Arabidopsis thaliana: one gene and its partner. Changing the gene in region 1 together with any one later gene gives a genetic interaction. Each region holds a gene or a part of one and is shown on either strand. Other genes may lie near its edges. The genes, in order: MYBL2 and BRI1.

The links.
Region 2: changes in MYBL2 (region 1) and BRI1 impair growth when combined (synthetic growth defect), as found in Arabidopsis thaliana (one study listed by BioGRID).

What each region holds. Positions count from the first base shown.
Region 1 is NC_003070.9:26,790,958-26,800,730, forward strand, and holds MYBL2 (MYB-like 2), read right to left. Parts: upstream 5,573-9,773; 5' UTR 5,270-5,572; coding exon 5,230-5,269; exon of another isoform or gene 5,060-5,229; coding exon 4,933-5,059; intron 4,847-4,932; coding exon 4,426-4,846; 3' UTR 4,095-4,425; downstream 1-4,094. Other genes in the region: AT1G71020 (ARM repeat superfamily protein), read right to left, coding at 1-956, 1,047-1,433, 1,525-1,641, 1,855-2,148; LPR2 (Cupredoxin superfamily protein), read right to left, coding at 6,244-6,297, 6,379-6,708, 6,779-7,903, 9,031-9,267.
Region 2 is NC_003075.7:18,322,755-18,335,541, forward strand, and holds BRI1 (Leucine-rich receptor-like protein kinase family protein), read left to right. Parts: upstream 1-1,702; 5' UTR 1,703-2,071; coding exon 2,072-5,662; 3' UTR 5,663-6,077; downstream 6,078-12,787. Other genes in the region: PLS (polari), read right to left, coding at 6,435-6,545; WRKY13 (WRKY DNA-binding protein 13), read right to left, coding at 10,183-10,369, 11,108-11,449, 11,650-12,035. UniProt on the Arabidopsis thaliana protein: Receptor with a dual specificity kinase activity acting on both serine/threonine- and tyrosine-containing substrates.

The DNA of each region.
Region 1 (9,773 bases):
ATCAGTTTTTCAGTATCTCTCTTGCAAAGACACAGTAGTATCGCAGCTGCGTTCTCTCGGTTTCGCGGTTGATCCTTCTGGAGACAATCTATCAAAGGTGGTATTGCGTTGGCTCTCAAAATCGCAGTTTTCGCGACTTGGTTACTAGCTAGAACCGAGAGTATGGTCAAGGCTTCATCAGCCATCCTCTCGCTCGAGGAGTCTGTCAGCATTTTCACCAATGGCTTTACTATACCGGCTCTAACTGCTCTGCCTTTGTTTCCCTGGTAAATACACAAGTTGAACAGAGCCGTAGCTGCGTCTTTCTTCCCTCTGACGCTTCCATATTGAAGCAGATCCACTAAGGCCATTATCGCACCTGATGCGCCTATAATGATCTTGTTCTCATCAGCTAACGAAAGACTAAAGAGAGTAGCTGCAGCGTTTTCTCTAGCTTCCATGCTTCCAGCTCGGAGGACTAGCACTATAGATGTGACTGCTCCTGCAAGCATGATCAGTTCTTTGTTGTGTTCGTATATGGAGAGGTTAAGAATGCAAGTGACAGCATTTTCCTGCGTTTCAGTGTCACCATCTGAGGTCAAAAGCTTGACCAAAACAGGGATGGCTCCTGCCTCTGCAATCAGAATTCGGTTGTCTGTGCTTCTTTTTGACAGAGAGCGGATTTCAGAAACCGCAGTCCTGCGGTCTTCGATTGATTGGCTAGAGAGTTTACAAACCAATGCTCGGATCGCTGACATATCTCCACTTAGATCACGGAAAGACCCATCACTGTTTTTGGTCCTACCGTTCATGTAACCACCTGGTTGCTCAATGTTGTGCTTAGTGCACCACTGAGATATCAGGCTTCTGAGGACATAGTTTGGAGTAAGAGTAAAGTTTTCAAGTTTCTGCTGTGTCTTTGGGCAGCTCAGATTTCCACAGTCTATCCATCTCTGAATGAACGACCTCTCGTATGTCTGCCAACGAAGAGAGAAGATCATTGTTAAGGTTTCAAATCAACAACCATACGTTAGCACTATATAAAGATTTGATTTTTTAAACCAGACCTGTCCTGTGGAAACAATAGCAGGATCCTTCATCAGTTCCAGAGAGATTGGACAAAGAAAGTCCTCTGGAATCGTGAGATTATCCGATTTCTGTGAGTCATCGCTGTTCTCGGTAACTGCTTTCTCTAATCTCTCATCATCACCATCCTTTGATAAAAAGAAGGCCAATGATACTGAAGAGCTCTTCCAAGGAGGGGGTGATTCAAATTTCTTCTCATCTGATAAAGAATGCACTGTCTCTGGAATACTCTCCAACTTTTCAATAACTTTTCTATTACTTGAGGCATCTTTCTCCATTGGCTCAGATAAACCACTCGAGAACTTCTTCGAATTTAACGATCCATATCTCTGCATTGCTCTTCTTAACTGTAATCTTGCTAGTTCCACCTAATCACAAGCAAAAAAAAACCCTTAGAAACACCTCCATGGATAGGAAAACCAAATCTTCATACATTCTACATAATGAACAAACTTTTACCTGTTCACGGACTTCGTCAGAGATATCATATCTATCATATGTCAAATCACCTAATGCTTTCTCCAGCTTCCATGTAACACATTGGAACTGGAATGAGATCCTCTTGGCTGCCCCATCCTTCAATCAAAATCACACATCAAAGTTTAGAGAGCTCCTCATGTATATATTAATAATGCTCTTCACTACACAAATGTCAACAATAGTATCTTCCAATCTAAAAAAACTAAAAACAAATTCTTCCTATAAATTACGTTCCTGCCATGGCGAGACCAAATCTTCGTGAAATCACAAATCCATTTTCAATCGTTGAGAATGGTTTAGAATGCTTACAGAGGACTCGCGAGCTTGGAAACTAGTAGCTGAAGACAAAAGACGCTTCGCGGCTTGAAGTCCCACCACAAGATCAGACCACCAATCACATTCATGAGAATTCAACGAAGAAGAAGCATCAGATTCCGACGGCGGAGAAGAATCCCTGATTTCCTCAATCAAATGCGTCAGGAGACCGACTCGTCGCGCGAGATCGGAACAATCCTTCTTAAACAAACCAAAATTCCCCGGAATCTCATTGATTTCAGCAATAAGACCGATGAGAGAATCGGGAGTGATAGCTCCACCAGCCATTACGCCGTCTCACACGGCGGCTTAAAATTCGAATTTTTGTGACTCGCTCTCTCTCTCTCGCTGGCTCGCTTCTGACTCAGAGATGCGTCTCTATCGCTTTTATGTATCCAACGAAGCCATGTGGCGAAAAAGGATAAGTCGCTGTTACGACACCGTTTTGGTTTTAGTGTTTTTTGTTTTAAACTTTTTATCTAACTCTAAAAATGGTTTTTTCTTTTCTTTTTAGTTTACTGGCTTTATATTTTTAGATAAAAGTTTATGTGATACATTTAAATAATACAATAGAACAAACTAGATAATTGAGAGCGAGATTCACGGTGCAAGTAGAGGTTGAAGAGAAAATGATACAGTTGTCAAAAAAATAATCAATTATTATCATTTATATTAGATCAAAACTGTATAATAGAAATGAACTATACTTTTAAATTCAATAAAAAAATCCACTTTTCTATTTATTGAAGAAAATGGTTTGTTGTGTGCTTAGTTGTAAAGTAGATCTTATATGATTGTATTTTATAGTTGTGTTGAAATTTATGTTGGAGTTATGAAATTTATCTGTATGTATTATTTATGTAATCTTAAATGGTAATAAATAGTCAAATTAGTTATTTTTTCTATTTGAAAAGAAACTAAGATAAAATTTCCAGGCCTTTAGATGCATTGTATTGACATGTGTTTCTAGTATATGATCTGTCTTACCCTAGTGTTTATTAAAAGATGGAAAAAATCTTCTTTGTAATTAACTAAATATAGCTTTACATGTTTTATTTTCCCTTAAAAATAACTTTGTATGTGTAAGAAAATTTAATATCTCTTACAGCAAAAATGTTCTAGAAAAATTATGTCAATTAACATAATTTTGGTGAGTATTATATAGCCTGCAAATGGAACGGTCGAACATGACCCGGTAGATCGAATTTTAACAACATTTTAGATAATTTGAAGCATGTATACAAATTGGGACCTATAATTTTCTTAAAACTGTTTTACCACAGTTTAGTATACTTTTGATTAAAATTTATAAACATGACTTACATATAGTTTGTGACAGTCTTGTATTGAAAAGTTATCTCGGTTTAACAAAAGAAAGGTTCAACCACGACATCCACATCATATCGGCCGACGTCCATGCCCGTGACTTCTGCGTCCTACATAACAACCGATAGCAACTTGAAAAATAGACAACATTATCTTTTAGACATTTTTGGCAAGTTTGACTGGCTGGTTTCATAATTATTTTTGGACATATGCAAAAATAAAAAGATCTACATAAAGAAGAGGGTATTCGTCTGAATCAGATGAAGATTAATAACCTTGAAGTGTTTGATGAGGCATGTGATTTTTGCTTGCACATCCACACACAACTCTCCATTAACCACAATACTCACCGTTATTTCTGAAATTTATGGTGTAGTTGTACTTGCGGAACAATATGAAAGTGAAGGTGAGATCAGAGTTTATACAGTTGTGGAAACAACTTCTTTGATGGTTGTAGATCCCGCAATCGTAGAAACAACCTTAATGATGATTGTAGTTTCGATGATAAATATTGGTCCATTTTCTTAGCAAACAATCTCCTCTTCTATACTTGTCAAACATTCATATTCTTTGGTCATGCAATTTTGTTTAATATTTGATGATGTTTGAATAGCGGTTGTACAAATGTATTTACTTTCTAATTTTTATTTTAAGCATGTATGAAGATACTTTAAACAAATTCATTGTGAGTTTTGTTCAAAATATATGTGAACGTGTTTGTACTAGTTGGTGCATATTTGACCGTATAGTCTCCATGCTTAAGACATCCTTAAATCGATACATTTCATTATTTTATAAGTTAACTAATTTGCTTCCTTTATATCTTTAGTAAGTAATTTTCGTATTTATAGATTCCTTTGTGCGAAACGAGAGTTTGAAATTGCTTTTGAATAAAGAGTAAAGTGTAGTTTGGAGGAAAATGAACATACTTGTCCATTTTAAGAGAGTTAATTAATACTTCCCGTCAATGTGCACCGTTAACATTGCTGTATTAGCTATAATTTCTTACAGCTTGATTGATCAAATAAGCAGCGGTTATCGTCGGTTAGTTATTAACGATCTACTATAATACTAATCACTGAAAACAGAACCGGACATTTAAGAGAATAGTTGTTCAATGACCAGCCGGTCCAATTCAGGATTAACATATTTCAAACATCGTTATACCATCTCTCTAGTGAATATTATAATATGTGCATTTGTAATATAACAAATGTGTACAAACAAATACACCATTTCTCATCGGAATAGAAGAAGCGTTTCTTGACCTGTTGAACCATTGGTAGAGGATTCGCTAGAGTCCTGAAGGCAAAGAGCTGGCAAAGAAGTCACGGCCGGGATGAGACCAATGTTTAGGTCAGGCAAATGACTTCGTCCGGTACTAGTACTATCCTCCGAGCAATTGGTACTTGGAATGGGCAAAATTGTTACACCACATGATTCGGATACCGAAGAAGATTGATCACTAATAATCTTGGTTTCATGTTCCTTATGTGAAGAATGGAGGTGACGTCTAGAAATGTAGTTGGTGTGATGGTGGAGACGATGATTGGTTGGGTCGATTCCCATTTTTACGAGCTTCCTTTTTAGGTAAGTTTCCCAATGGATCCTAACTTCGTTGTCGGTTCGTCCTGGCAATCTTCCCGCTATCAATGACCATCTGAAAAAACATAACATCAAAATGATTATTAGCACGTACCGTTCACATTACTATTGAATTAAAGAATAAGAAGAATGAATACGAACCTATTGCCAAGAAGTGCATGAAGCTTGAGGATGAGATCGTCTTCATCTTTTGAGAAGTTGCGTTGTTTAACTTCTGGCCTTACGTAGTTTCGACCTCTCAATCGACATCTCTTACGGTGTTGCATACCTAAGAGAAGGGATCAAAATTTAACAAATTAAAACGATATATCGTCACAAAGTCACGTATGTACACATGTATATCTATGAATTCTACATCGACCTCTTTAAACTATGAATAATTTGGTGATGTGAATAGCAAAACACATGATTAATACTGTTTAAAGAGAAAATAGTTACCGGAAGGTGGGGAGAGAGCACGAAGGCGGGTTTTGTTCATGTCTTTTTCAAAGTGAGATTGGTTGAGTTATGTCTTTTTTTAAAACTGTTGATAGATTGTGAGGTGGTTTGCGAGAAGAAACTGATATATAGGATTAGGGGATGGCTTGAGGAGGTTTGACTTGGACTGGTGGGTTGAGAGAAGCGTGCATGCTCAATCAAACTATTAATGAACGAGGAAGAACAAGAAGAATACATCAACCTTGTTAATTGGTCCCACATTTAGGAGTTGAAACAAATAAAAATTGGTCCCATATTTGTTCAAATCCATTAGAATTTGTGGAATCATGAATGTGGAAGTGTGTCGCATTTAATTTGCCTTACCAATACCAATCCAAATCTCGCTCTTATCCACATTTTCGTAAAATATATGTACGGCTCCGATAGATACCTTTTGTGAAATATCAAAGATGTGTGTGTGGTATCAATAATAGATTCACTAAAATATATATTAAGCAAGAAGAAGACGAAGAAGATATTTGACTAGTGGCTCAAAATTATTTGGATGCATTATTTGATAAAATATCTGAAGCTTCCGAATATGACATGAAAATAAACAAATTAAGAGAAAATAGGAAACCATGAAATTAAAGAGTGTAGGTTCAGGAACAGATAAGGGAGAAACATGGGAGCATTCAATTGAATTTGACTGGTGGTTAGGACTTTGTATACGAGGAATTTTCTAATTTCACTCACCACTTCCCTATCTCACTTACCATCTACTCCAAAATCATATAAGAAGCAAAAGAGTTTTGTTATTGGGCCCGTTAAAGCCCGTAACTGTTAAAAGCCCATTAACAAGCTGCTTCTAATCTCCGAGGCCAAGTGAAAAACAATGATAGAGATATAACATCAATCCAATCGAATTATCTTTTAACACTTTCTGTATAAGATATTTATGTAATCTGAAATCTCAATCTATATCAACTCGTTTGTATTCTGCACTCGTAATTGTAAATTGTTTTCGTTTTAGAATTATAGCACCATTGCAAAGGGCCTCATCATCATATTGTCTTCATGGTCCAATATCTGCAATGCCAATATCATACAGTTAGTTCTAAAAGAAAAAGCTAAATTCGTCATCAACTTTTTAGTATTTTACCAACTTACGTGACAGTGGTAAACATAGCCTGGCTCTTGAGTTGCGTCAAAGGAGTAAGATTCGTTTGAGTGAATGTAAGAAAATCTAACGAGTATCTTCGTTACATGTCCCGGCATCATCTTGAATACGTTTTTCCATCCCCGCTCGTGTACCGTAACCGCGGTCTTGTTCCCTCGTGCGTATTTGCTAATCTCACACTTGACGGCATCGTTTCTTTTAGTCATGCACTCTATGAACTCCTCACTCTTCACCAATGCCGTTTGCTCCAATACTTTAAACAATCCCAAGTGAATGTGCAACGGATGGTTATCCTCGGTTAAGTTTATCACTTCCCACACCTTCATTATTGTAAGCATTAAAGATTTGAACTATACGGTTAGTGAATAGTGAAATTTTGGTTATAAATACCTCGCTTGTGCCGATTTTTGGAGTTTCGGTTACGGGAGCGTTGTAAGGCAGACCGTTGATGTATAGATGTGTTGGCTCGTCAATGCTTGACACATACTCGAACATAGCAATGTAACGTGTACGTGTGGAGGTTGATACATGAGCAGGAGGGTATTCAATTAGCTTCTTCGGAATAATCGACGTGTCAACTTCTGATTTGTAGTTGATTATAAACTTCATGACTTTGCTGTTCTCTTCCGTGACGGGATCTCCCGACGGGTAAGGATAAGGTGCATTGTTGGCAAGAATTGCCGTTTTCGATGTTGACTTTGAAAAGTCAACGAGTACGTCGACAATCTCCGACGGAGCTAGGAGAACAGATTTGGTCGATACTGGTTTCGCTAGATAAGCGGAATCGGAACCAACGACAATGAAGTCGAGACCGTTGGAGAAGAAGAACCGGAAGAACCTTGCGTTACTAGCGTTTGTGATTCGAAATCTATATTTCCGGCGGCGGACGGTTAATCTCGGCCATGCTTTACCGTTCACAATGATGGCGTCGCCGAAATACTCTGGCTGCCATTGTGGATGAATCGTTGGATTGTTCCCTGTAGCGTTCATGTAAATGGAACCATCTTTACGAAAAGATCGGTCAAAGATGACCAAAGGACGATCGAATTCGCGTCCGGTAGGTAACCGAAGAGGCGATTCGACTGAGCTATGACGGAGAATGTAAGAGCCTAACAAACCGGCAAGAAGGTTGACTCTGGTCAACCCTGCCGCGTGGTCATGGTACCACATGTTTCCAGGTTGTTGCTTGTTGACGTAATGTGTAGTCTTTTTGGTCCATTTGGAACCAGTTTCTTTGAAACCAGCGGTGAACCATGAATCTGCATTTCCATCGCTAGTTGGTTCGTGGATACCTCCGTGCAAGTGAACCACCGTGGGAATGCCGCCGTGTTTAGGGATTGCCGGAGAGATTGTTGGGTCCCAAGGGAGGATATGATGTAAAGGGAGGTGATTTCGCCACGTCACGTAGGTGTCGACGCCATAAACAGCTTCTATTGTTGGTCCAGGAACTGTTGCTGAACGCTTTGATGTACCATATGCGAACACTGGCGTGGCAGGCAAGTCTCTGTGGAATTTCTGTACTTCACAATGATTTAACTCATATCAGTGTGTGACAGAGTTAGAGAAATTCAAAAACTTAAATCATTCGAATCATTAGCAGAGTAATAAAATAGTTTAAAGGAACAGAGCACAATTAGCTAGGCCAAAGTGGTAGAAAAGCAATCATAATTATATAGTTAGTGGGTAATAACTTTCTATCAATTAATCATTAGATTTGATGATGTTCTTAGTATAATTTATCAGAACAAAACTTAAAGAGCTTATAGAAACTATAAAAAAAATGTGTATTCATTCGGTAGGAGAGCAAAATAATATTAAATTTGACTAGTTATAAAAGAGCACTGATTCGTCAGTACTATAAACCAATAGATATTTTTCTCAAGAGGACAAATAAGTGAGAGGATAAGAGTGGAGTACACAAGATGAATCAATTCCAAATCACTTTACCAAAAAAGAGCCGTAGCCAACTAAAAAGCACTTAAGTTTTCACTGATCTATACGATTTCGAATATTTAATGTTAATTTTTGTCATTAATGAGTTTAGATTAGTTTATGAACAAAGAGGAATTTGAGTATTCATTCGGTGAAGGGCAAATAATATTCAACATGACGAGTGATAAAAAGTATACAATTATTAATACTTTTTCTCAAAGACGACAAACAAGTGAGGGGACAATAGTGTGAACACAACACGAATCTATTCTAATCACTTTACAACCTAAGAAGAGCCGTAGCCAAGTAAAAAGCAAATTAACTTCACTAATCTTATACGATATCGAATTTAATGTTAATGTTTTTCATTAAGGAGATAATGTTCAACATTAGTTAGTCGGCTTAAGTTGGTCAAGAAAGTTAATGAGTCTATTTTTTTGCATGTAATACAGGTGTAAATCACTAAATGATGGTTATTTGAATTTTCTATCTAAATATTTTGGCCATTTATAACCTCATGACAGAAATGGAAGATGATCTGTTTTCACGAACGACTATAGACTGGAAATTTAATTTAATAACATACCAAATATAACTTCAAGAAAACAGAGAAAACAAGAGGAAAATATATAATAGAGGAAAGAAATTAGAAAACAAGGAAACAAAAATTAGAATATAAGGAAAATGAGAAGAAGGAAAGAATTAAATACCCATTTCTTGAAGAACATGCCTATGTGAAGAGATTTGGGTTTGAGGAAGCCATTGACGAAGTGGTAGCCATGAAGTGTTGGTATATGAGGAAGCTTGTCAACGAACATCTCAAGCTTCCCAAGATTAAACAGTCGCTCCTCTTGCTTTATGCCTCCTTCGTCTCCGGTTACGAGCCATGCCATCGTTACGATTAGAAGCAACATGTCTCTGGTCATTCTCCTCCGAGAAGGCTCCATGTCTTTGTCCTTCACGAGCTGTCGAAATTATATGAGAAAAGTCAAGTGTGTGTGTGTGTTTGTATGTGTGGAATACTTAAAAGTTGAGGAGAGAAGTTGAAGAAGTTCTTTGGGGTTTTGCGTATTTATGCATACGAGTGTGTGGTGTCAAATAACTTTGTTGTTCTTTGCTTTCATTCTCTTGACTATTGAGTCGCTACTTTCCTAGAATTTATCTTCCAAAAAGGAATGGTTTTTTTTTTAATTAGTAAGCTTCTACATTATAAAACTAGAATTTGAATATTATATGTACATGACAAGAGTATTGATTTTTCTTAAAAAATGAATATATATATATACGTATATAATATATCCATTAATTATATGGTTTATATCTATCAAAAATTAACTGAAAATTAAACAGGGTTCATACTTCATAATTCTTTTTGTGAATAACAAGGTTAATAGTTCTGTCTTCTCAAATGGATCTTTTACGAAAAAATCAACATTCTTCTAATGGAACTAAT
Region 2 (12,787 bases), on another chromosome or scaffold:
ATGGTGGCTCGATGTAGAAACAACGCCGTTTTGTGTTCACGTATGTCTGACGCGCGAGCAGAGAGCGTGGGTGATTTGTCACACGAGCGCTTATAAATGAGAGTGTGGGGAGGACAGTTTCGTCCCTTTTTTGGAAGTTAGAATCATTACACTATTTTGGCGTTTTGCTTGATTATGATGACATTATAGAATAAAATGTTCTATTATACGAAATTAATACATCACTAAACATACTTTTCATTCAGTTTGTATTTAAAAAGTTACTTGTACCAATATAGTATTCTATCAGGTTGTTTGTTTTTCTGTTCAATTGTACTTATACAAACCTTCCAAAAAAAGTGTTACACTTGCGATAGATAGTTACACAAATGTCATTCTCTATGATCTTCCTTCTTTATTTGAAAATGGTATCGCAGTATTATTCGCTGAAAGTTGAACCTTCAAACCAGTTACCATTGCAGACGACATTTTCTCTACAAAAGTTAAAGTGATAGTAACATATCTCGAATTTAATTGAAAAGTTTACTACTCAAGTAGTCAAGTTCCTGTTACCCAAAACTATGTGTATAAAGTGAATTTTTTGTTAATTATGTAACTATGTATACACCGGGTACAGCTGCACGTAGGGTTTGTACATAATTACGAAATATCTCTATAAAACTGCGACAGAAGGAAAAAATAATAGAATAAGGCTTTAAGAGAAGTTTGGTCTATCCGTCTATGTAAGTGCCAGAGAAAAAGAAAGCAGTTTAAAAGTGAAAGGAGGGATTAATTAGTGGGAAAAGGTTTATCGAAAACTAATAATAATACTTCTCTGATTATTAAAAAGAGATGGAATCTGCCATTAATTGACACTCATGTCCCAATCGTCTCTCACACGTACGTTCGTTTTTTTTTTTGTTTCTCTTTTGCAAAAAGCTATAGAGACAATCTCTCCTCCACTTTATTTTTAGTTTTTCTTTCAGATACAAGTGAGAGTGAACAAGAGAAGAGTGTTAATGTGAAATGTTTGTGGTTGGTGTGAAATTCATGTAAAAATATGTATGTATTACCTTAACATTAAAGTAAATTTGAACTCTTTCAAACTATCACATTGAATGCTCCAAATCTTGTTGTATATGAGTATCAATATAAAAGAAATTTAGATGCTTATACTATGTTCCATTTTTACTGAACACTACTTAACCATTAGTCCATAAATGTGGAATTAGTTAGTTGCTGGCATCTTTATATCAGAATCAAAAGTTTTGCATATTGGGTGACAGTGAGTGCATACACCAATAATTCACCGATCAAGATCCAACCAAGTAAGAAGAAAAATATAACATGAATTATCTTGATTTTTTTTTTAATAAAAATAAAAATCAATGAATATATATGCTTATTATAAAAAAAAACCCAGCACTAAACAGAAGATCAGATTAGACTTGTGTTTTAAAAATATTGAGAAGAGAATCAAGAGATAGGTGGTTGGGGGTAAAATGTATACAAATGTTACAATAAAGTCTTAAGAAGAGTTTAAAAAGGGTAAGTAGGATATGTAGCTTGCAGAAGACTTGATCCCATCCCCTAATCTCACGTTAATTAAACACCTCTCTCATGTACAGACAAAATACCTCATTTCTTTAACTTAAACTTAACAAAAGCTACTATGAGATTAAGGATTTTGTGATGCCATTATTTTATTTATTTTTAGTATCCTCTTGCATTAATTAACTTTTTTTTTATAACCACATACAATAATTAAAAGTAGTATTATTTGTTTGTATCTGTTATCGAAATTGAAATTAATATATATAATTTTTATAATAATCAGAAGAAGAGGTAACATGGCATGTGAGTGCACAGCTGTGACCACTCTTCCCTTCACCATTTGATAAATACCTTCTTCCATCTTCCTTCTTCTGTCTTTTGACTCTCTTCTCTCTCTCCTCTCTTTCTGCTTTCCTCAATCTCTCTCTTTCTATCTCTAGAGCTTCCACTTCCTCTCTAATGGTGGAACCAAAACCCTAGATTCCCCCTTTCATCTTCTCTACTTCCCACACTTTTCTCTCTCACAAACTCTTGAGAAATGAAGACTTTTTCAAGCTTCTTTCTCTCTGTAACAACTCTCTTCTTCTTCTCCTTCTTTTCTCTTTCATTTCAAGCTTCACCATCTCAGTCTTTATACAGAGAAATCCATCAGCTTATAAGCTTCAAAGACGTTCTTCCTGACAAGAATCTTCTCCCAGACTGGTCTTCCAACAAAAACCCGTGTACTTTCGATGGCGTTACTTGCAGAGACGACAAAGTTACTTCGATTGATCTCAGCTCCAAGCCTCTCAACGTCGGATTCAGTGCCGTGTCCTCGTCTCTCCTGTCTCTCACCGGATTAGAGTCTCTGTTTCTCTCAAACTCACACATCAATGGCTCCGTTTCTGGCTTCAAGTGCTCTGCTTCTTTAACCAGCTTGGATCTATCTAGAAACTCTCTTTCGGGTCCTGTAACGACTCTAACAAGCCTTGGTTCTTGCTCCGGTCTGAAGTTTCTTAACGTCTCTTCCAATACACTTGATTTTCCCGGGAAAGTTTCAGGTGGGTTGAAGCTAAACAGCTTGGAAGTTCTGGATCTTTCTGCGAATTCAATCTCCGGTGCTAACGTCGTTGGTTGGGTTCTCTCCGATGGGTGTGGAGAGTTGAAACATTTAGCGATTAGCGGAAACAAAATCAGTGGAGACGTCGATGTTTCTCGCTGCGTGAATCTCGAGTTTCTCGATGTTTCCTCCAACAATTTCTCCACTGGGATTCCTTTCCTCGGAGATTGCTCTGCTCTGCAACATCTTGACATCTCCGGGAACAAATTATCCGGCGATTTCTCCCGTGCTATCTCTACTTGCACAGAGCTCAAGTTGTTGAACATCTCTAGTAACCAATTCGTCGGACCAATCCCTCCGCTACCGCTTAAAAGTCTCCAATACCTCTCTCTGGCCGAGAACAAATTCACCGGCGAGATCCCTGACTTTCTCTCCGGCGCGTGTGATACACTCACTGGTCTCGATCTCTCTGGAAATCATTTCTACGGTGCGGTTCCTCCATTCTTCGGTTCATGTTCTCTTCTCGAATCACTCGCGTTGTCGAGTAACAACTTCTCTGGCGAGTTACCGATGGATACGTTGTTGAAGATGAGAGGACTCAAAGTACTTGATCTGTCTTTCAACGAGTTTTCCGGCGAATTACCGGAATCTCTGACGAATCTATCCGCTTCGTTGCTAACGTTAGATCTCAGCTCCAACAATTTCTCCGGTCCGATTCTCCCAAATCTCTGCCAGAACCCTAAAAACACTCTGCAGGAGCTTTACCTTCAGAACAATGGCTTCACCGGGAAGATTCCACCGACTTTAAGCAACTGTTCTGAGCTGGTTTCGCTTCACTTGAGCTTCAATTACCTCTCCGGGACAATCCCTTCGAGCTTAGGCTCTCTATCGAAGCTTCGAGATCTGAAACTATGGCTGAATATGTTAGAAGGAGAGATCCCTCAGGAGCTCATGTATGTCAAGACCTTAGAGACTCTGATCCTCGACTTCAACGATTTAACCGGTGAAATCCCTTCCGGTTTAAGTAACTGTACCAATCTTAACTGGATTTCTCTGTCGAATAACCGGTTAACCGGTGAGATTCCGAAATGGATTGGCCGGTTAGAGAATCTCGCTATCCTCAAGCTAAGCAACAATTCATTCTCCGGGAACATTCCGGCTGAGCTCGGCGACTGCAGAAGCTTAATCTGGCTTGATCTCAACACCAATCTCTTCAATGGAACGATTCCGGCGGCGATGTTTAAACAATCCGGGAAAATCGCTGCCAATTTCATCGCCGGTAAGAGGTACGTTTATATCAAAAACGATGGGATGAAGAAAGAGTGTCATGGAGCTGGTAATTTACTTGAGTTTCAAGGAATCAGATCCGAACAATTAAACCGGCTTTCAACGAGGAACCCTTGTAATATCACTAGCAGAGTCTATGGAGGTCACACTTCGCCGACGTTTGATAACAATGGTTCGATGATGTTTCTGGACATGTCTTACAACATGTTGTCTGGATACATACCGAAGGAGATTGGTTCGATGCCTTATCTGTTTATTCTCAATTTGGGTCATAACGATATCTCTGGTTCGATTCCTGATGAGGTAGGTGATCTAAGAGGTTTAAACATTCTTGATCTTTCAAGCAATAAGCTCGATGGGAGGATTCCTCAGGCTATGTCAGCTCTTACTATGCTTACGGAAATCGATTTGTCGAATAATAATTTGTCTGGTCCGATTCCTGAGATGGGTCAGTTTGAGACTTTTCCACCGGCTAAGTTCTTGAACAATCCTGGTCTCTGTGGTTATCCTCTTCCGCGGTGTGATCCTTCAAATGCAGACGGTTATGCTCATCATCAGAGATCTCATGGAAGGAGACCAGCGTCCCTTGCTGGTAGTGTGGCGATGGGATTGTTGTTCTCTTTTGTGTGTATATTTGGGCTGATCCTTGTTGGTAGAGAGATGAGGAAGAGACGGAGAAAGAAAGAGGCGGAGTTGGAGATGTATGCGGAAGGACATGGAAACTCTGGCGATAGAACTGCTAACAACACCAATTGGAAGCTGACTGGTGTGAAAGAAGCCTTGAGTATCAATCTTGCTGCTTTCGAGAAGCCATTGCGGAAGCTCACGTTTGCGGATCTTCTTCAGGCTACCAATGGTTTCCATAATGATAGTCTGATTGGTTCTGGTGGGTTTGGAGATGTTTACAAAGCGATTTTGAAAGATGGAAGCGCGGTGGCTATCAAGAAACTGATTCATGTTAGCGGTCAAGGTGATAGAGAGTTCATGGCGGAGATGGAAACCATTGGGAAGATCAAACATCGAAATCTTGTGCCTCTTCTTGGTTATTGCAAAGTTGGAGACGAGCGGCTTCTTGTGTATGAGTTTATGAAGTATGGAAGTTTAGAAGATGTTTTGCACGACCCCAAGAAAGCTGGGGTGAAACTAAACTGGTCCACACGGCGGAAGATTGCGATAGGATCAGCTAGAGGGCTTGCTTTCCTTCACCACAACTGCAGTCCGCATATCATCCACAGAGACATGAAATCCAGTAATGTGTTGCTTGATGAGAATTTGGAAGCTCGGGTTTCAGATTTTGGCATGGCGAGGCTGATGAGTGCGATGGATACGCATTTAAGCGTCAGTACATTAGCTGGTACACCGGGTTACGTTCCTCCAGAGTATTACCAAAGTTTCAGGTGTTCAACAAAAGGAGACGTTTATAGTTACGGTGTGGTCTTACTCGAGCTACTCACGGGTAAACGGCCAACGGATTCACCGGATTTTGGAGATAACAACCTTGTTGGATGGGTGAAACAGCACGCAAAACTGCGGATTAGCGATGTGTTTGACCCCGAGCTTATGAAGGAAGATCCAGCATTAGAGATCGAACTTTTACAACATTTAAAAGTTGCGGTTGCGTGTTTGGATGATCGGGCTTGGAGACGACCGACAATGGTACAAGTCATGGCCATGTTTAAGGAGATACAAGCCGGGTCAGGGATAGATTCACAGTCAACGATCAGATCAATAGAGGATGGAGGGTTCAGTACAATAGAGATGGTTGATATGAGTATAAAAGAAGTTCCTGAAGGAAAATTATGAGAGTTAGAAACAGAGCCAAAGCAGATTCTTTGAACATCAAAATCATCTAAGGGTCAGTCCGATTTTCCTTGGGTCTATTTTTTTTGTATTTTCTACTATATGCTAAGTGTATGTATCTATGTTATTTATACATAAGACGGATGTTTTTTTTTTCGGGCTCGGTCGAATTGGGGGTGGTGGAGAATAGAACTAAGTAATAACTTTGTTAAGAATATGTAAATATACAGTTTTTTGGGGAGGGATTTGTAATGTTTTCGTTTTTAGTTCTATGGAAATTTCTACGTTGCTAACAAATTAAATTTATAATGAATCATGAAGAAACAAAGAGCCAATGTGTATTAAATTTCGACTGATCATGTTCATGTAAATGCACGTGACCTATTAATTCATTATTGTCGGAATTAATTTGGGGAATTCACACTGCACGGGAATGGGAAAGTGAGAATAGATGAGACTTAAATTTGTTTTTATGGATGTTATATTTACATGACCAATGTGGTCCCTTTTGAACTATGCTGAGTTAAACGTTTTTTTTTTTGCTATATACTTATTACTGATGAAATTGAACCGTTGGACTATATTTATATCCATCTACGTTATTTTTTCCATTACTATTGATTTTGTTATTGGCCCAAGTAGAATCAAAAGAATGGTTTTTTGATGTCATAATTTGCAATATAGAAATGGGAGGGATATGTATTGCATAATAAGATAAAGATAAACCTTTATCGAGACATAAGATTGTATGTAGATATTGAAAATGATAGGGTGATCAATGGATTTTAAAAAGTTTAAACAATTTTGCTACTAATAAATAAGAGATTGATATATAACATGGAGAAATGGACCTTCGCCTGAAATTAAAACAAAGTCTGGGTTTCATTCATGTTTCAGTGAGACACTGCGCCAACATCACCACAACAAGTCTTACACAAGGAACGTGTGCCTCACGTGCTCTTCTCTTTCTCTCTGCAGCTACGTGGACTGTCTTCGCTCCCCTCGCTCTTCGGATTTCGTGTTCCTTGCTTTCAAATTCTTTCTTCTTTAATCTTTTTGATTATTTATTTTTCTTTTCTCACTACTACCCAAACTAAAACACAAATCAAGTGTTTAGACTTTTAATAAAACTTAAAGAAAGGTTTATTTGGGTTTTATATGTTCGCTTTAGTCTCCAATACTAATATATTAAGTGGAACATTATAAATACATGCTTCTTATATACTATATGATCATGGATTTCGAAGAAACATTATAGAAAAAAAAACTTGAAACAAATGCGATACGGATACGTGCACATACATACCAATACACTATTATTCATCCTAGACAAGACACTGACATAGGCGCGTATAAACAAACGCGCTGAAACTGTGGAAGAAGGAAAAGAAGAGATGAGTAGCTATCAAGCGGAACACGCGCGACGGTGGTGGGTACGGAGCACGTGGGCCACCGTGCATGCAAGCTGTTCTTGTCGGAAACTTCCCCTAACAACGTCTCCTTCCGCCGTGGGCCGCCGTCCCTTTCCTGTCTCCGCCGAATTGACCTCTTCCTCTCTTTCCCTCTCTCATCTCTCTCCCACGTGTGTTTCCTTCTCATCCATACACTTCTCTTAATTAATTTATTATCTTCCTAATAAATATTCTTAATACATTTTGTTTTTTTCATATGCCTTAAGAAATTTTATATATTATTTTGACAACTTGTCAATAATACTATTCGTTACGCGGAATTATTGGGTACGTACGTGGGTTTCATTGCTCTTTGTCTGATATCAAGAAATCAAGTCACATAAAATTAAATACAGGAATACGCACAATGCAAAAAAAGCCACTATCCATAAAAATTATACTTATACTATAATACAAAAATTCTGAGTTGCAAATGACAAAATTAATAGGAACTACAAAAAAAAATTAGTAAAAACATAACACGGTGGTAGAATTTTGTTTCCTATCATAAATTTTGATAAAATTAGGGCGTACTTGAACACATAAAGGGTTACGATTCAAAGGAATTAAGCAATTTGTACTAAAAATACATAATTACAAAACCATTCTATCATTTTAGGATCTTTTTCTTTCAATCAAACCAATAATTCACGTTTAAACGTCGTCATGTATCTGATTATGTACATATAAAATTGCTCTAAATATGTAAATATGGGTCAAGTGCAAGACGGTCCATGCATTTAGATATTTTTCTGTAAGGCATATAAGTGGAGGATTGCGATGTGTACGTAAATACATAATCATTAATCAATTTATATATGTATATATACCTAGTTATGGGGTTGGAAATCTGAAGTTGAATCAATCTTATCGTAGTTTTATTCATTCTCGAGGCTTCTTTCTCACGTACAAAACTTCCCGCACGGGCTAAAGCTTGTTTGTCAAATAAATTGTTTAGAAACTGAGGTTTCGACGATGTACGAACTACACAAAGCTACAAACAAAGAAAATAATTAAGAATTTGTTTTGTACGTAAACATGTAGACAAACCCATTTCCACGCGTGTGAGCTCTCTGCCATTCATATACAGCTAAGACTTCTGAAAACGACGTTGATTAGTTAAATGTGTCGTCGTGGAAAAAACTATGTAAATACGTTCTCTATTGACTCAAAGGATAACAATATTTCTGCATATTTTTTGTTTACCTGTGATTTATAATGTTTTGTAAAAATGTACGTAACGACTATCAACAAGATATTATTATTTCACATGATAACAAGCGGTCAAAGTTGTTCTTACCGAGTTACTGTCAAATTGCATGCTAGAGCTTATTCTAATATGTATTGTATATATATTATCATAGTCTTAAATCGAATTATGTCTATGAATAATACTTTCTCTGCATATATATTTTTTTTTGTCAATATATGTTATTTAGTCTCCATATGTTTGGCTCTCTTTACAACTTACAAAAAAATACCTTAACTAAAATAAAGATATAGTGTTAAACTAATTTAATCAAAGAAATTGTTGGATTCATCTCACCTAGGAATCTTCCTTCTTTTCACGACGAAGAGACAAAGAAACAAAAAGCGACGGCTCAGATTTTGGTAATGTATAATGAAGTTTCAAATATTATATTCATCTCCTCGCAGCTTCTCCCAGCTTTCTCGTTTTTAATTCCCAGTCTCCTTTCAACAAGTTTTTTTTTCTTTAAAGCCATAATTAATGTTTGGGCGTCAGGATTACGTTATCTTAACTTTTTCCAATGGTTTGAACTGCTTTAACAGAGCCTTGTAAAATAATTGGAAAATTTGCTTTTGATAATAGCTAATTAGCAAATGGAATCAGTTTGTCCATAAATATATATGTAATGTCGTAAATCAGTATATAATAGAAGAAAAAAAATAAGAAATTTGATGATGGCAAATACTTTGAGTAACAACACAATTGGCTATCGTGTCAATTTTTGAGATAAATTAACTAAATTACATTGATACATAGTATACAGTATTATGAAAATGATTATTTAAGACCTTGGATTAAGGTAGCGAACGTGCGGTCCACGAGGGAATCACGTGGGAGTCTCCCTCGGACTCGGCGGAGCAAGCGGGTCACAACTTTTCATGTCCTCGTAACTTATGATTTCTATTTCTTTAATAGTTTTGTTTTCTTTTCGTAATAAGGTTTCGTAATCTAAGTTGATCAACGTATTACACTATTTAAGGTTTTACATTACACTTTTGGGAATCGAGAGAGTCGAGACGCTCACGTGCTTAAACGCGCTTATCCATTTGTCGAATTTCTTGGTTTGTCACGTGATCGCTATATTCGTGGACTTGGGTCTATCATTAAACCCAATAGAATTTTCCTCGTCTATAGGCTCATTATGGTAATCTGTCTTTATTGAACAAGTGTAAAATTTAAAGAAGCCCATTATAAGGCCCATCAATTTGAAACATAGACTCAATAAGCTGTTTTTTGGAACTCATTACAATATAATTTTCTGTTGACTCCGTTTAAAATAAGATACATTTAAAAGCCCACCAATTACAAACTAAGGCCCAATGAAATATATTTCCTTTAGCTGTTGAAGGTATCGTTGAGCGAAATTTTGTATTTGTCTTTGCTGCGTTTTTTTGGAGAGTTTAAATTTCCTTTTGTCAAAAATAGAAAGCATTTTCGGCCAAATTTTTGTTAGTACAATTTTAATGATAAAAACTTTAAATTTTTCGAATGTGGACTACATTTATATACCAAATAATGTCACACAAACCAACCAACAGAGTAACTATAAAATCAATTCAACTATATATTATATAGTCCTCAATTTGGAAATGGTACATTAATCATCTTACAAACACAAACAAACCACGGTGACATCGTCCACATTACAAATATAAAAACATCGATCATACCTGTTTCCTAACGAGAACATGTTATATATGTGTAACTTTTTTTTTATCGAGCTAGGTGTTGATGATTAATATATAATACGATAATTAGTTTGAGGCAAGGCAAGGTTGATTGATTTTTGATATTGGTTGATTCAATGGAAATACAAATTGAAATCACCAGAAGAAGTTGGAGAGAGGAGGGTGCAGGTGAGAGGTGGAGAGAGAGTCGTCGTCGAGATGATTAGAAGGAGAGTGAAGGTGTCTTCCTTCGTAAGTAGTGATTACCATTCTTGGGTCATCTGCTAATCTCTCCACTCTCTTCTTCACTCTACACTTGTCTTGTGTGCATCTGTAATAGCTCCTGCCATTCACATATTATATATATTAGTTAATCTTATATCAAATTTTATGGGAAACAAGTCTTATTTTTGGTTAGACTAGTTATAGTTGAATATAGAGTGATATAATATCAAACAGATATTAAGGCAACTAATGGAACTTTATCACAAAGCTCATGATAAAACTTTACAAAATGAGTATACAAGTTACCTAAACAAATCATTATTATTTGTAAATGTCAAATGTCAACATGTGAGAAAGAATCTTACAGAAACCCAACCCCATTATGTCTCACATTCTCACATAACACTCAAATATTTCTACATGAAATTACTTTTTTCCTTTCTTAACGGTTATATTCTTTTCCTATTTTTCTATAGCTACTAATCCCCAGAGGGACAAAAGTTTTTGTTATAACAGAACTGATACTTAATTACATATATACAGAGAAACGTACCAGAAAGATTCTACTAATAATTTTCATTGCCCTTAGAAAAATCGTAAATGAATGATTAATCATTACATGGCTCATAATTCACTACAAATTTTCATCATATTAGTTTACGTTAAAAACTTGGAAAAAAAAAAACTGATGATTGATCAAGACCGTAAAATTCTTATGAGAAGTCATCATTAACCTTCAAGGAATCATGAGAGGCAAAAAAGTGGAAGAACTGATATGTAGTCATCTTAATTAAAGAACGGCTGAGAATTGAAAGACTCGGAACCAATTTCAAATCATAAAATTAAATTAAATTACCTGGGATGTTGGGTGTTTTTGACAACTTTCTGGCCATACTTTCTCCATCTATATCCATCATCTAAGACATCAACCTCGCTAAGTGTCTTAAAGCAAAACCGAGGTTCCCTCACTTTTCTTCTTGTCTTAAGCTTCTTCATCTTCAGAGAAGAAACTACGCCTAATGACGCTGTGTTATGTTTATCATGACGACTGGGAGTATCATGATGATGATGACGACCATTATCATCATCATTAATGCCACCACCATCGCCAACCTCATCATCATTATCATCAACATCAATCTCGCTTCCATGGTTGTTTTTCTGGCTGCTTCCGTATCCCGCTTGACAACTCCATGCCCTAAACCACATTAACATATAAACATTAGTTACTTATATATAAGTAGCCGAGTCATGTGTGCATCCTCAAACTAATTGAAAATTCTGTACAATAAAGCAAAAGTAACTAGTAGGGAAATATACGAGCTTTTGGTTTATATATTTAAATACTTATTTTGAAAATAATGATTAATTTTAGTATTTTCGTAAGTAACTACTTACCATGGATTTGACAGGGGTCTTTGGGATGAAATACTACCGGTAAGACGATGATGATCGAGATTAAGAAAACCATCATGATCGTCCCTTTGCTTTGATGAGGACAAAGACGAGATTAGGGTTTCGGGGAGATTGGTCATGAGATTGATGGAATCTTGAGGATGACTTATGAATGAAGACGGGTTATTATGAAGGAAGGAGTTTAGGGAGTTATGACCAAGAAATGGAGACACAAGAGAAGAAGGAGAAGACGAAGACGACGAAGATGATGAAGATAAGGTGCTGTGACTAGGGAAAGAGAAGAAGAAACCTAGATGGTTGGTATTAATAGGGTTTATGACGGTTTGTGATTCATCAAACAAGCTTATTCCTTGGTTTATCGCACCCATCTCGCAAAAGCTTGACGAAGGTGAGATTGTGTGTGTGAGACAGTGAGAGAGAAAGTTTTTGTTTTGCTGGATATTTTGTTTGATTTTGGGTTGAGAGTTGAGACAATCCAATCCATCCATGTGAGTGTTTCGATTAATATATAAATGTTGGATAATGAAAAGGTGCAGGTGGGTCCAATTGGATTGGTTTTGTTCGAAGATTTACATGTGATTAAAATGCTCATATTTGTTTTGTACTCGCCTGATTTTGAAATATAATAGTGATGAGGGGTCTTTTTAAAAATGTTTGTTGATATTAATAAAGTCTGTATTTTGGTTAAAATAACTATGAGGTTTTAGATTTTTTTTTTTTTTTTTTTTTCTTTTTTTTTTGGAAATTTAGAACGATTATAGGATCAAGCGAAAAGACTTACAGTTTTGTGTTTTGGTAGCAGTATACAACAATACGTAAAATTTTTAGGTAGTTGAAATGTTATAACAATGACTAATTTGATCTATGCATGAAAATTATTCATTAACTCAAATATTTTTCATTATTATATGTCCTATGCAGCCTTGCAACTTTCACAATATTTGAACCTTAATTTGGTCTTTATCAAAAAAAAAAAAACTAAGTTGGTGGGAAAACTACAGACTTATAAACATTTTTCCACTTATGCTTTTCCAAACTAAGATTATTGGTTCGAATTTGATGTCTAAAAGAAAGAATAACCACATTTGAAATTAAAAACAGTTTTTTTTTTTGCTACTCC